Linked DNA regions of Lepisosteus oculatus. The protein of the gene in region 1 interacts with the protein of each later gene in a biochemical or structural test. Links are inferred from orthologs where the notes say so. Each region holds a gene or a part of one and is shown on either strand. Other genes may lie near its edges.

Region 1 (7,215 bases):
TAGTGTACAGGATTAAAATGATGTGGAATATTTAATTTTAATATTTAAATTATATTACAATGATTAGAATATGAACTGCATACGACTCTACACGAGTTCTCTTGATAACGTTCAGTAGTTTTTTTTCTCCAAAATAGTTCTGCCTTCAGATTTGAACAGTTGATTTTCGACAGAACTGTTGCCATCACCCCTCTCAAAATGTACCGATTTCGAGGGAATATTCTTGCCATTGATGACTGCTCTTTTCCAAAGAAGGTTACCTATTAAGCTATTTTTTTATCATAAATGGAGTTTATTCGTATTTAAGCTAAAATCGAAAGAATTTGAATATTTTGTGCTTTCTATATACCTGGTTTTTTAAAGTTATTTGCTCAAGATATTCAGACAGTATAAGTTTTTGCTACGTACAAACGAATCGTTGATAAATCCTACGGAGTTCAACGGACACATAGCTTAAAGATCACTTATTCTTGTAAACCGGATGTGAAGATTAAAAATTGTCTTCTCGCAAAAAATGAAAAATCTTGTTGTGCATGTTCACCAAAATAACAGGCGACCTATTAAAAGAATGGCGTGTAAAATCTTACTTATATAATCATATAAACACACAGTTAGCAGTACAGTGTCTTTAAAATAAAATTGATATTACTTCTGATGTTTTATGTACATGACAGAGTATCCCCAATCTAAACGTTTAGATATTATTTCAATTAGAATAATGTAAAAGCAATATATGTAAAAGCATTTGCAACAAATAACGAATATACTGTCGTTTGTTCCCTACTAACAATTACCTTCAATTCGTTCTTCATCTTTATACTGCCTAAATTATTATTATTAGCCTAAATTGTGATTTTGTCAACAAAGAATTCACAAGGTAAAAAAGATAAAACAGACCACGTCATTTATATATAAATATTCGTGTTGGTTTCTTTATTTAAACTGTGACATTCACCCAGATTTTAAGATATATAAATATAAAGTTAAAGATTTGACACAACAAACCAAGCGACTCTATAAACAAGCAACATTAAATATTTAAACATTTTAAGCAAAGCAGCTCTTATTTACAAGTATACATTACAAAAATGGTCCACATTCTCCAGATGAGTTTCGTTTTGGCTTTTTGTTTGTTTTTTTTTATATAAAGTGGAAATACTTTGCGGAGATGACTTTGTTTCCGAGATGAAATGATCTAGAGCGGTACCGCTTTATAATGGCATTAATAAATGACACCGCTTATCATATCAGCCCTGATACGGATCTGTACCACATGACCCAAATCTCCTTTAGGAAAAACATGCTGTTCTATAAATACTGTTTGTTGACACAAATACATTTCTCTTCGCCAGAGTTTTCTGACGTAAGTATTCACATTTTCTTGTTAGTCTTTGACAGTGCATCTGATATAATACTGTAAATCAATCAATACTGAAATGGCATGAAAAGGGATATGTCGCCTTTAAGGCATTGGAACACCTTTCTATTAATAGGAAGAGAATGGCAACCATTCCCCGGTTTAGTCAGAAACGTGGTAACTTTGTCCACCGTCTTTAGAGGAATAATCGTTCGTTAAAGAATGTATAGTTTGTTCGTCAGTCATTTCGGGAGAAACCCGGCGCATTTATAACACTTGGTAGATGGGGTTGGGGTCGTGGGCCAGCTGAGTGCAGTTGGTGGGGGACTGGACGGGCGCCCCGGCTTCACTCAAGATGGATCCCTCTCGGGGTGACGAGGGGCTGCCTTCGCCCCCGTCCTGCGCGGGCAGCGCCGGGCACGTCGAGGTGTCTGTTGAAATGCGCTCCACGATGCTGGACAGACAATCCAAGCTGGAAATGACCGAGTTCTTACTAGTCCTGGAATCTGAAGATATAAGAAATAATTGTGACGTTGTGCTGCTAACGGAACTGATTTCACGGGATCTGAAATGTACTCATGCATAAACATCCTTCTGACTAAGTTCGTGCTTTACATATGTGTATACCTATATGCTGACATGGTCATTCTTGAGACCAGCATTCCCGTTACACTTGCTAGAAGGCCACAATAAAACATCTCAACTAATGTCAGACGATACTGTATGATTCCCAAGCCTGCTATCCCGTCCTTCTAAAGGAAAAACAAACAGCTGCAGCCGGATGGGTCTAGCCTGACACTTACCATTTGGAGTTTCGGAAAAGTAAGCGCTGTCATAACTGTTTCTTCTCCTCGAAGTGCATGTTGGGCCGCCGAAATCCATCTGGAAGAAAGACATTTCGAAATGTTCGGCTTGCGGTACAACGCACATGAATCGCATGAAGTTTACAGTCAAACCAACGCGCCACTAAGTTACGATGGCAAATCTCACTATGTTAAAATCATTAAAATCATCTCACCATTCCATCCGAGCAGTTGGACCGGGGGCTGGACGCGTCGGAGTCCCCGCTATAGTGCTCCAGTACTGGGTAGTAGTTTTCATCCTGACCTCGGAGTAGGGATTGTAGGGACTCAATGTAGCTAATGGCGTTTCTGAGAATTTCAACCTTGGGTAGCCTCTGGTTGGGGTTTGTGGATGTGCACCTCTTCAGGGTCTCGAACGCCTCGTTCACTTTGCTCAGCCGCCTCCTCTCCCTCATCGTGGCCGCTTTCCGGCGGTCGGCGTTGGTGGTCTTCCTCTTGCAGGCTTTGCAAGCCCAGAGCAGGCATCGGCCCGCCTGGTGGTGCCCGCTGGGAGCCCGAATGTGTTCGTCTTCGTTGTGATGGTGGTCGTCCGCCTTCAGCAAGCCCACGTGAACCAGCCTGGGGTCCAGGTCTTCGAAAAAGTGCATGTCGCTGGTGTTAAAGCACGGGTCATCGTAGAAGTCGTCAGCGCTGGTGATGGGAAAAGTGATATCCGATAACTCCATGGTGAAGGGCTGATTTCTGCCTCCAGAAAACAAAACAAAAAAACAACAACGAAAAAGTTTACTTTGGCTTTTGCCTTTCTCTTCTAGGAGTAAAGTTTAACTTCAGTTCTTCAAATGTTACAAAAACAAAAACCCCGAACGCGTCTTAAATGTAGAACTTGACGTGACGTTAAAACCAAGGATGGTGAGTGCTTGTCTCCAGGACTGCCTGCTTAAAGCACCCTTTGGGTACCTGTTGCTGAGCATGTGTTTTTTGCTCTATTTATGAGGACTTGCAGCTCTTGGGCGTATCTTGGCTTTCGGACACCTCTCTGCAGTGACCAATGAGCACGGAGAGAGGCAGGGCACGGGCGAGCCTCTTGGGAGGAGTTCGCTGTTCCCCTCTCCTCTCCGGTGTCATCCTGGAGAATGTTCAGGAAAGAGAAAACACCGCGGGTGATAAGGGGATCACGCACAACTTTTGAATTTTAGTAATAAAAACATCATTTTTATCATGTTTTAGGGAGCGCATTTTTGTTAACCATCTATTCAACTCACCCCCGAGAAAATAATACATAAAGCAGAATAGACCGCTGATGTGTTTGGATACACGAATTATTTTGCGACTCGCATAAGCTTCTGTATACTTGTTAAACTGGCCATTACGCCTTTTTATTGAAGGGTCTTTCAAAAAAATATTTTTCTACATTATCAAGTTTAAAAGTTCACAAACTAACCTTAGAAATGCTCAGGGATAATTTTTATTATTATTTGAAGCAAATCACTGAACAGCTTTTCTTTCTTATTGTCAGACCGGGTTTATCTCACTAACGGGTTTATTTTGATACTGGAAAACATGGACGTTTCGATGTTGTCCTTTATCGTTTTAGATGGTTTTCTTTTTTATTCTAATTTCAGCCTTTAACAGCTAGTTTTCTCAGAAGGGGGTAGTTTTTCACTTATTTGAAATGTTGATCTCACTCTCTCATTTATCGTCAAATAGGTTATATACAGTATCAACTTGCTGACTGGTTTAATCGTGAATGTTTTAACTCAAATGTTTTATTCGAAAAGTTTTTTAGAAAGTGTTCTCATTACCACAAGCACCCTTGGGTTATAAAATATGCTAAACGACTACATTACTTCCTTTTAAATCGAAACCGTATTTTTTACAAGATTGATCATACATTTTTCACGGTGCCTTCTTATTTATAACTCTTTAGATTTAATTCTAATAAGCGTGTCGTTCCTGAACGGTTCTTGAGGTTTTAAATTTCATAATAACATTCCATAAATAGTTGGATATTTAAACCATATTATATTATATTTTTATTAAAAGCTGAATTATTTTAATTCATTTTAACGAAGTTATTTCTGTATTATGTTTTATTGTGAAGAAAGATGCCGCATCACCAGATACAACAACCGTAGCCCTGAAGTTTCCGATGACAGCACCCTTCTGCTCTCAGGTAGTGAGTTTTATCATGCGCCACTAGATGGCAGTAAAGAGTCGAGGTAAAGCGAATAGATCGTTCCCACTTAACGCACATCTCAAGCCTACCTTATAGTATTTGTATATACGTATTAAAAAAAAAGTATCTGGAAAAGTACATTCGTCCCCAAAGTTTACTTGTTTTAGCACCATACACTGTCTCATTGAAAAACAGCGAGAGAAACCTACGTTATTTCAAAGGTCCTATTTTCATTTTAAATTTTACCACGATCCGATTTTTTTTTGTTGGCCTGTAAGAAAGTGCAAGGTTCCGTGATTAAACCAACAAAAAATCACCCTAAAAAGGAATATGTGCTTTATATTTCGTTAAAGGTAGCTTTATTGTAGAATACTGTATCATCAAACATTAGAATGTAAATCGTGGTTAGCCAATTAGCTCATACACCATTCAGGGTACAAATCCATGAGTTAAATTGGGTTTAAGTTTCTTTTCCTGATTCTGTCAGGGTTCCCTTTGTTATGTACAGGTTTAAAAGCCAGGCAGGCAATTTACAGAATCCTAAAACAATGCAAGATCTCGGGTGTATCGCCACATCTTAACGAATGTACCAATGTATGTAGAACAATGTATTTTTTCGTTGTATTAATTTCCTTAGGAAATACACACCTTGAAGTCGTACAATTCTATACATTTTTGGGTTCATTTCTTTACATATTACGTCTAGAAAAAATGTTAAACGATTTTATTGAAATAATAGAGCAATCATAAAATAATAATAATAAAAGAGCAATCATAATAAGACAAAGTCTAACAGTTTATATATGAGTAAGGATTTCTTTTCATTGTGGGCATTTTTATTTCAGGACGAAAGACGGGGTTCCTAATATTCGGGTTAAATACGGAACAGCTTAGTTACAGTAAGTAGTTGTTTAGCATTAATAACCCAATAATTATCCAATCTACAATTGAAGAAAAAAATACATGATCTACAAAGTTCTTTATCACAACTTTAAAACTTTACAGCGATTCCACAATACAAACACAATTCAGTAACATTTTGAAAAGGTTTAAATTTATCTGAAGCCGGTGAGCGTTTAATGTCGTGTAACGAATAACCGCTTGAAGGAATTTTAATCAAAACGTCGCTGCTTAATATTTCCTGGGACAATCATATTAATGCGTGTCGGGTGTTATTTTAAACAAAAGGCACCTGGTCATCTACAAATGTGCAATTAGATCTGTTTATTAGTGTTCGTGTTCGCCCATTTCTGGGAACGTAAGTGTAAGGAATTATTATTAATTAATAAGAGGTGGGAAATTTAATTAGAAAACAAGGAGAACTGTCTAGGTAGGGGCAGTCAACAACGTCTTCCGACTTAAACGCGCGGAACCGGTATACAAACGGATATCGCAGTGAACAGAGGACAGGAAAGAGGGGTAGTTTGCTGTATACTGTAGTGCAGTCTCAAGTCCCATTGTTTGGCATCAAGTAGTACTTAAAGCACTTGATAACACTTATTGTAGTATTATTTTTTTAATTAACCCCTCTTTAATAGTTTAGCGCTTTGAAATTGTAATTATTAGTAGTAATAACAGTTAGAATTCAGTGTAATCGGTTCTGCAGAGGAAATAAGGACTTTTAAACAAAAGATACAAACAAGCTCATTAACAATAAATTTATCAGTACCACCTCTATGAATAAAGCAGTTTTATTATAATATTATTACACCCCAAAATGAATATTTTTAAAATGCGAATGAATAAAAGCTGTTGCGAGATTCTCGCAACCATTTATATGGTTTTACTAAAAAGCAATAACCCACTCGCTCGATGTCATTAACAGAGCCTGGATTAAGGAGCATTCGGATTATTTGATACTTTTTTATCACTATAATTGTGTTGAATGCAAGATTTAAGGAAAATCACATCTGACTTCAGTAAAACACGACAGTGTACCTAGTCAATATCTTTACGTCTACGGCAATAGAAGCCATACAGTATGCTCATGTTCTGTTAATGTTTATATCGCATTGTCAGTGAGCGAATAAAACCCATAAAGCTGTCTTCTGTTCTGAATACGCTTTGTAACATAAAAGCATTTAGAAAGACTAACATTTCACAGTTGTATCCAGTCTCTGATTGTTTTTTTTTTTACATATTTAAATAGATGTAATACTAGCTACTGCATTTAATCACCATTGCTTCATCAAAGACCCAAGCTTTCTTTCACGCGGTTGAACCTATGCAATATTTTTAGTCTTGGTCATCCTTTTCTATCTGTCCGTCATAATCCTACATACAAAAAAATCAACAGAAATTAATCTGTTTTAGGATTGCTTTTCAGTTTTCAGTTAGAACTAAAAATGACGTATTTGTTGGGCTATAAGTTAGTTGTTGATCCAAGAATTTCATTCACCCTTCTCTCAAAATAAGACGGAGTATCGGCTCCATCAACATAGCTGGGTAGTTTGTTCCATACCCCCACACCCCTTTGTCTAAAGGAGCGCTTCCTGCTCCCTGTTTTAGAAGTACTTAAACTCTTTCTGAAAAGAAAGTATGATTTTACAGGCTGTACCTGTAGATATAGGCTAGATATTTTTCACTAAAAGTAGCTATTCTACCAGGTGTAACAAAGTATTCACCTTAAGTGGCAGTTTTCACACTCACAGCCTATTGACCTACTAACAGCCTAATTAAATTCAATTTGCCATCCTATGGGAATTGTAAAGTTTGTCCCTAACATCAATATGCTAATTTTGTGTGTAATATGATCGGGACATGCCCGTTGCTTGCCGGGATAGACTCCAGCTCCCCGTGACCCTGATGGCTAAGGAAGTGGGTGGATGATTAAGAAAGAGTCCGACGTTTTCCACTTCACAGTTTTGGCACAAAGGTTC
Region 2 (7,917 bases), about 4.9 Mb from region 1:
TTCGGCTGTAGAGTCAGATGGCACTTGAAGAAGGCTCCCCAGCCAAAATGTGTTTCTTTTTTTCTCTTTTTCAGCATTAAATAAATCTTTACATCTTTAACACCTACAAGTCTGAAAATAAATGATCCCCCAGATAAAGTGAACTACTGGACAGTGATACATGTCACAATGAAGCAAGATGTCTTGCTACACAGTGCCTTACAGATCATCACTGGCATCTTTTATTAAACAGGAAACAACCTCTTCCAGCAAACAGACTAGAATACTGAGCAATACATTTATAAGATGTTAGCTTTTAAATATTGTGTAAATTGTGATGGATTATGAGCAAGTATATGGCATTTAATGTCCCTTTTGCACTTTGTTTTTTTTCATTCTTTACACTTATCTCCGTATCCTTGTTTCCCCCAAGACTCGACCGATCCTGAATGTTACCCAAGCAGAATGGCCCAGCTGGCAGCCATCTGCAAAATTCAGCTTGATGAGCAATCAAGGTAAGTTCTAACTAAGGTCATTTAGTGCAATATTTCTTTTCTGTAATGTGGAAATGTTTCTTATTTCCTTATTTAACTTGGTTCGGACAAAGCATCAAACTTTGGTTTTTAATAGCCTTAATGCATCTAAACAAACAAGTAATAGGTTTATTCCATGCTGAAAAAAAAGAAGAAAGAAAACGTTTCGGCCGTGGAGCCTTCTTCAGGTGAGAAAGACAAGACACCTGAAGAAGGCTCCACAGCCAAAACGTTGTTTTCTTTCTTCTTTTTTTCCAGCACGGAATAAACCTATTACTTGTTCCTTTGCAGGCTACACATGCTGACGCAGCTACCCACCTGAACTACTTAATGCTAATACAGTGATAATGCACATACACACCAAAAAACAGTCACCATGGGGGAATCAAAACTTCATTTGTTCAATGCAACTCATTTTTCTACCTCATGAAATAAACTGCTATTTACTTTTGTTTTAGGAAAAGCAAGAAGAAACCCAAACAGACTGTGACACAAGCTCAAAAACAAAAAGGAAAAGCCACCAAAACATCAGGAGCTGTTGAGCAACTAGTAAACGCAGAACAGCAGGATACCAACTCTCAGGCTAAGACCCTTGCGCCATCTACCAGAGCAGTACCTTATCTTCACTGTCAGTATTCTCCCCTCATCCCCATGATACTACCTCAGAACCAGACTGCTGGACCATGTGCTATATATGTGCACTCTTGTGCGCGGCCAGTAGCTAATCGCTCCAGCCTGGCTGTACGATCCATGAGATTTGAAGATAAAGGTGGGGAAAGTCCACCTGACGCTGGCTTAGAAATCCACTGCGACAGGACAGCTTCAGCTTCTGATCCAGAAAATGACTCCTCTCAAAAGAATTGCCAGTCGCCTTGTTCGCTGAACAGTCCCAAGAGGGTCTATAAACGAGCCTGTACTGAAAAGCTTGAAAACTCTTCTCCAAAAAGAAAGAACACCCAGACAAATTCTAGGGTATGTTTTCCTCTTTCTATTTTTGATTCTAAGGGTGTTTCCAGAGCTACAGATAACCTAAAAATATTAGCTACGTTCATTGTTAGCAACTGTCATTCAGAAAAGTTAATTTGTTATATTACTTAAAAAGTGCCTGACCAATAGGTTTAGTCAAGCGTTAAGGAAAGACGTATGTAACTCTCCTGCTTGGTTACCGATGATTCGGTGTCAATTTTCTCAGATGCGACCCGAGAAAATGCTCATTCTTAAGTGAAATTCTCTCCTGATTTTTATCATCAGGGTTCGTCACCCGGTGAAGCAGAGCTATACGAACTCTACCTGGACAAGCTCAAGGCACGCAGGGGATTGGTACCCAACAGACCTTCGCCTAGAGCCTTGCACTTAGATCCAGAGTTTATCAATACCCCGGAGAACAAGGGATCAGAGCAGCTTGACGAAAGTGTGGAGACATTCCTGGAAAAAGAAGAGAAGCTTTCGTGTTCCGACAGCGAAGCAGGACTTACTCCTATACGATCGGTCTCCGTGCCAGAAATCATGGTGCCTTCTGGTCATCTGCACCCTGAGGTAACCAAAGTTTGATATTTCCGTTCCAAATGATATCCACGGATGGGAAAATGTGTTCTGACCATTGATTTTTGTTACATCTGTTGTTCCAGGCACTAGTGCCAGCCGGCTATCTTATTCCCATATCGCAGCAGTCCCTCTTCAGCCTTCAGAGGTCGCGGTCCCCGGACGGAGAAAGCCCCAAGCCCTCAGCTTCACACCACAAGGCTTACCAACCCCCTGTCACAGGTACCGACACGGAGCGAGAAAGCTCACAAGATAGCATTGGAACTCCCGTGTTTCGGAAGTGGTTGAAACCCATTTGACTACCATTCTGTCTTTGCCCCCCTCCCCCACAGGGGCCCTACCTGTGATGTCTTCAGAACTCACCCCTACGAGCTTCACATCGCACGCCACGTTTCAGCACCCCAGCCCCTCCGTCTCCCTCGCCTCCTTTCCAGTTATCAACCAGTCGAGCCCTTCTTTTGCCTCCGGGCAGCACGTGAACAGCCCCAGCCCCGCAATACTGAACTTCACACTACAGAACCTCGGGCTGATCTCGGCTGGAATCCCGCAGGGTGCCAGCCCTGGCACTGTGGCCACCCCCCTGGAGCAGGCCAGCCCCGTCCCAGGACACCTGAGCTTTCAGCCAGGGGGGATGATCTTCATCAAGCCTATGTCTCCAGTCCCGGTTCAGCCTCAGATGCCTGGACAGCATGTTACTTTGATCAGTTTACAGCAGGTGAGAACTAGGACTTGGTTGTTCAAGACCTCTTAAAAGAAGAGAGACAAAAAAATGTTTCACGCTACTATATAGTAATATGCAGTTGTTGATGTAACACATTGTAAATTATTAAATATTTATAGCAGCAGTGAAATACAAAAAAGACGTGCAAACTATGTAGAAATTATTTTTAACCAGTTACAGAAGCAGTCAGAACTGTTTATGTAAAGCATGAATTAACATTAGAGTAAAAGTATCCATTACACACCTTGAAAACTTTGAATCCAAGTTATCAGCTGACTGTAACTGTTTTTATTTTCAAACAGCCTCTTCTGGCAACGCCCAAAGCATCCCAGTGTGCTCAACAGAGCTTCTTCCACACCCCAGTCTCCACCTTGTCTCCCTTGGCTGCTGTGGTCTCGTCTAGTCATTCGTCTCACGAGAACATTTACATACCGCAGAGGAAACTTGAAGTGAGCACTGAAGAAACCTGAAGACTGTAGCAGCAGACCCTCTCTGCACTGTTTTTTTCTTTCATGAGCTGCAAAACGATATTTATAAAGCTTTGACAATTTGACTGTGTGAGTGGGGGGGTGTCCCTTTGCACAAAGGGGTACGCTAGTTCATATTAAATTATTTCTAGGTCCTAAGCACAGACGTGTTCAGGTCCTGCAACACCTGCAGTGAAAGTCATTAAAAAGTTTTGTGGATTTTACAAAACAGATGGATATACCTTCTGAAGACTACAGCCCCTGCTACCAGGTGTCCTCTAATAAAAACTGCAGCATGGAAAAACTTAAAATATAGGGTACCTGCAGGTTTTAGAGTAGTTACAAAACAGCATACTGTATGTACTCTGCTATTTACTTCTTGCAGTTTCTACTGAACCAGACTTGTGCCCCATGATCACTGAAACTAACTGGGCTTGAAAACCTGCAAAAACACAAATACAGTTTACACTGTACATCTTAAAGCACAGACAATGTTTTAACAGTTAATCAACATTTCCACAGGATGAGAAAACATTCACACTGAAGATCTCCATCTTTAATGTTAAACACTAGCTTTTTATACAGTCAGTGCTGTAGCAGAACTGGAGTTTTAAGCAGGAAGTGGCACAGGACCTCGGACCCAATGCATTAATGTACTGCATAATTTTCCAATGCCCATTTAGGATATTCAAAATATGCATGTAGGAATAAACTATGACAAATGTTTCTTATTCAGTAATACAAGTAGCCTTAATAGGACAAATCAAACCGATACATGGATGATTCATGTTTTGCATGTTAGCAAAAAGATGTACGGCACAATGACATTTTGCACATTTTATATGTTAACTGTTACAGTTCTTTAATTGGTATCTATGAAATAAAGATAAAAAATGAATGTATGGGGAAATTTCCTATTAGTGTAATCAGGTGAATTATAATTTCATTAATTTATAGGAAGGATTTTCTTACATTTGTCAATGATCAAAATTGTTAACCTGGACTGCTTTGGTTGGATTGCAGTTGAATTAATTTGATATGTACACATTTACTAAGAAAATAAAGGGGGATTCTTTCTGTTTTCAGCATACAACACCTGTATTTCTTTTCACTGATGAAAATTTCTTAACTAAGGACCCTTCAATACAGCCTACAAATCTGACACATGCAGCTGCCTTCATATTTACACACATGCCCATATTTATCATGAGAACAAATGGCACCCCTAGGGACTTACCAGTTCCCAGCACAAAGCAAAGGATTTGTCAGAAGTTATTTTGGGAAGACCGCTTAATTTGGATGTCAGCTACTGATACCTCCTATAGCTGTGAATGAAAGATGTCCAGTATTTAAGGCTGCCTGGTTTGACATCAACTCAAACCCACCGATCTAAGCAACAGAGAAGGACTACTGGACCCAGGGATCTCTATTTTGTAAGTCTTGGTATTGTTTTACAAAGACTTTCTCATAAAGTATCACAGAATGTCACGTCAAAATATTGAATTCCGTGCTATATCATGAGTTATGTTGGATTAACTGGTTGTAAAATACTTTTGTATTGATTTTGGTGTTAGTAAATTGTAGTGGCAAAATTCCCGTCTCGTCCAAAATATCATTAGAGTTGTGTTTTTAAACATGTAATTAAACCGTGAAACCATTATGGTAGTCCTGATGAAGTCCAGCCGAATAGAATAAAAAACCTGCATACCAGTTAATGTTTTAATAAATTCTTGCCAATATCGTTTTATCTCGGGAGTTAACGTTACATATGTTACTAAACTATTTTTTCCCCTCAAGTCGATTTGTATATTTCGGGAATGAAGCCTCAAACTGCATGAAATCATCTAAATATTTACCTTTAAAGAACCATTGGCATAAGTTCTTCAGTACGTAACTGTGGTCTTTGTACAGACCCTATTCCTGGACTCTTATCGCGGCATTCCAGACATTCAAATTGCTTAATGTCGCTTAATCAATGGAGAGAATAAGTAACTTGCGTGTAGTCTATCAGTCACCCGATACCTTATCGCTCATTTGGGATAAAACTTCACACACATCAAACACTCTTCTGTTCATTCTTATCACTATATAATAAATTGATCATAACGTTTTAAATAACGGGCTAAATTGATTTATTTTCTAGTTGTGTCTTGACGTGTACAAAAACTTGGCACTAATTAATATTTGCCACGCAATATACAATTAATAGTAGATATGTATTACTAAAAGAACTTGGTATACGTTTAAAATACGTTCAATGCTCTGCGAATAAAGATTCAAAAGCAAAATGCTTTTAAGGCCATGAAAATGTCATAACACGCTAAAACACCTTAATGCTAGAACATTTAGAGTAAGCATGCTTGAAACGAATCCCTTATAAAATATTTTTTTAAGTATTAATGGTCTGAAAACGCGGTTCCAATGAGGTATTTAATGATGCGAAGTTGGTAAATACTGTTGTTTCAGGATACAGGTACTGTATGTTGTGCGGTTGTGTGATTTTTCTCTTTTCCAGCAGATCGTTTGAAAAAACAGATTTAAGATGCCGAACTGGGGCGGTGGAGCGAAGTGTTCAGCCTGTGAGAAAACGGTTTATCACGCAGAGGAGATACAGTGCAATGGAAGAAGTTTCCACAAAACCTGCTTTATCTGCAGTGAGTCCTCCGTTTATTCACCACTAATGGTCCACACGGACGACACTTCTCCGTCGCTCATTTTTGTCTTTGGGGGCATTTGGGATGGGTCTGTGCTGAGGGCGCAGGGAATGAACTCTAAACCAAACGTTTGCCCCTTTTTCAAAAAGGCACGCAAATCCTGCGACACCTGTTTCAAGATGTCATTGCAGAAAACAGACGAGCATACAGTAGTTTAGAGACGCCAGTTAACCTAAAAAGCGTGTCATTGTACTGCGGGATGCAGTCGCCGCACAAAAGCACCCCTGGGCTCCGAATTGAAACCCAGGATTTAAGAGCTTGCAGGGCAACAGACCTATCCAGCTCTTCATCACGTGTTATGAACTGTAGCCCATAATTAAATTGCAAGTCTGACATTTGGGCTGCAATCGGTAATGTCATTGAATCCCAAATGTCCGTGTAATTAATTGCCGTTCAGGCTGTGCTCCGTCTGTTGCGGCAAATTAAAAAGTTTACCCTCCGAAACAAAAATGGAATTAGAAACCAGGTTATACTGGCCAATAGCTCAACATCAACAGCGGACAATTTTGCATGCAAGGGAATTTGGAGACTGGCACAATATTAACTAAAATATCTGTTATCTTCACAGCGACCTTCTTTGGCTACTTAACAACGTAGCACCGAGGTGTGGAAATCACCAGGGCTCAATCTGAATGATGCTAGCTCTATCTTTAGCAGGCCAGGCAAAGGTCATGTGTGACATTTATAAATAGCTTTCATTGTCAGGTTTGACGCCATTTTATTTTTGTGACCACGATAAGTCAAGTTTTTAACTAAATTTAAATTTACCTTTTGGCTAGCAAACGGTACTTTTATGTACAACATACCCCAGGATGAAGCATCATACTGACAGGCAGCGACCAAATAAAAAAAACAACAACAACAACAACAACAAATGTTTTGCAGCTCCCGTCTTCTAAGAAAGCTTTACCTTTGTTTCTTCTAGTGGTCTGCAGAAAAGCCCTTGATAGCACAACGGTAGCAGCACACGAGTCTGAAATTTACTGCAAGACCTGTTACGGGAAGAAGTATGGTCCAAAAGGCTACGGCTATGGACAAGGTGCGGGAGCACTCAGCTCAGACCCCGGAGAGCACCTGGGGATTCAACCGCAAGAGTACGTGAAGGGAATTCATCCAGCAGATCAAATACCATTTTCAATTTCCTGTTTACCTAAACTACAGCACTAAATAAGTGTCCCAAAGTCCAGTGCCAAATGCGCAAAAGTGTTCCTTGTACGCGAAGTCATCCGCGTATTTTTGGAGCTCACTTTGCAACTTCAAAGGCAATAGTCAGCTTCTGCGTCTTCAGTAGAACCGAGTTTAGTCAAATCCATCAATTGCCCTCTGCAGCGTAATACGTTTTTTTTTCCCCTGAGGTTTATCAAGTTAATATGAACTACACACTTCTCCAAACGGTTCGAATTTTGCCAGGACGCCTGGTTCAACCGTGAAACGCACCTGAGAAGCTACCGGACTGAATGCGTCCTGAACAGACCCGGAGTAGTGATCAGGGTCACCTGGAAATTATGTTTGAGACTGATTTGCTTGAGGCAAAATCCTCCGACGCTCAAATATTGAATGGGAATCACTCCATCTTGTTTTCGTAATGAGCAGATTTTAGTCTCCTTAAATAGGAATGGCCTAAATTCAAAGGGATATTACTTTACAATACATTCCGAAAACACGGAATACCATGCATAACAAAAATCCGTATTTTCAACCTTCTCAAACCGAGAGATTATTAATTAAAAGTAATCTACTACAGTGACGAGCTACACGTGTAAGTGATTACATTTGAGAATAAACCAAGACGTTGGGGGGAAAATCATTTGAAAAGCCATGAGTTAGAGATCCATTTTACGTGTGTATTGTTACTATGTTGTAAAATGTTATATTCCGTCTTAAAACTTTAAAATTATTATTTCTTTTAAAAATTAACCCCTTACATTGCTTGTTACTTGTAACCTTAATGGATTACCCCA

What was found.
Region 2: the proteins of myod1 (region 1) and csrp3 form a complex in vitro, tested with the Homo sapiens proteins (2 studies listed by BioGRID and IntAct, with this or other methods). The link is inferred for Lepisosteus oculatus from reciprocal best matches to the Homo sapiens genes MYOD1 and CSRP3.

What each region holds. Positions count from the first base shown.
Region 1 is NC_090716.1:12,164,777-12,171,991, forward strand, and holds myod1 (myoblast determination protein 1 homolog), read right to left. Parts: upstream 3,324-7,215; 5' UTR 2,886-3,323; coding exon 2,376-2,885; intron 2,240-2,375; coding exon 2,161-2,239; intron 1,864-2,160; coding exon 1,625-1,863; 3' UTR 907-1,624; downstream 1-906. UniProt on the Homo sapiens protein: Acts as a transcriptional activator that promotes transcription of muscle-specific target genes and plays a role in muscle differentiation. Together with MYF5 and MYOG, co-occupies muscle-specific gene promoter core region during myogenesis.
Region 2 is NC_090716.1:7,309,056-7,316,972, forward strand, and holds the start of csrp3 (cysteine and glycine-rich protein 3), read left to right. Parts: upstream 1-4,527; 5' UTR 4,528-4,675; intron 4,676-5,757; 5' UTR 5,758-5,784; coding exon 5,785-5,896; intron 5,897-6,881; coding exon 6,882-7,050; intron 7,051-7,917. Other genes in the region: transcription factor E2F8, read left to right, coding at 413-494, 971-1,484, 1,764-2,048, 2,141-2,276, 2,387-2,769, 3,078-3,245. UniProt on the Homo sapiens protein: Positive regulator of myogenesis. Acts as a cofactor for myogenic bHLH transcription factors such as MYOD1, and probably MYOG and MYF6.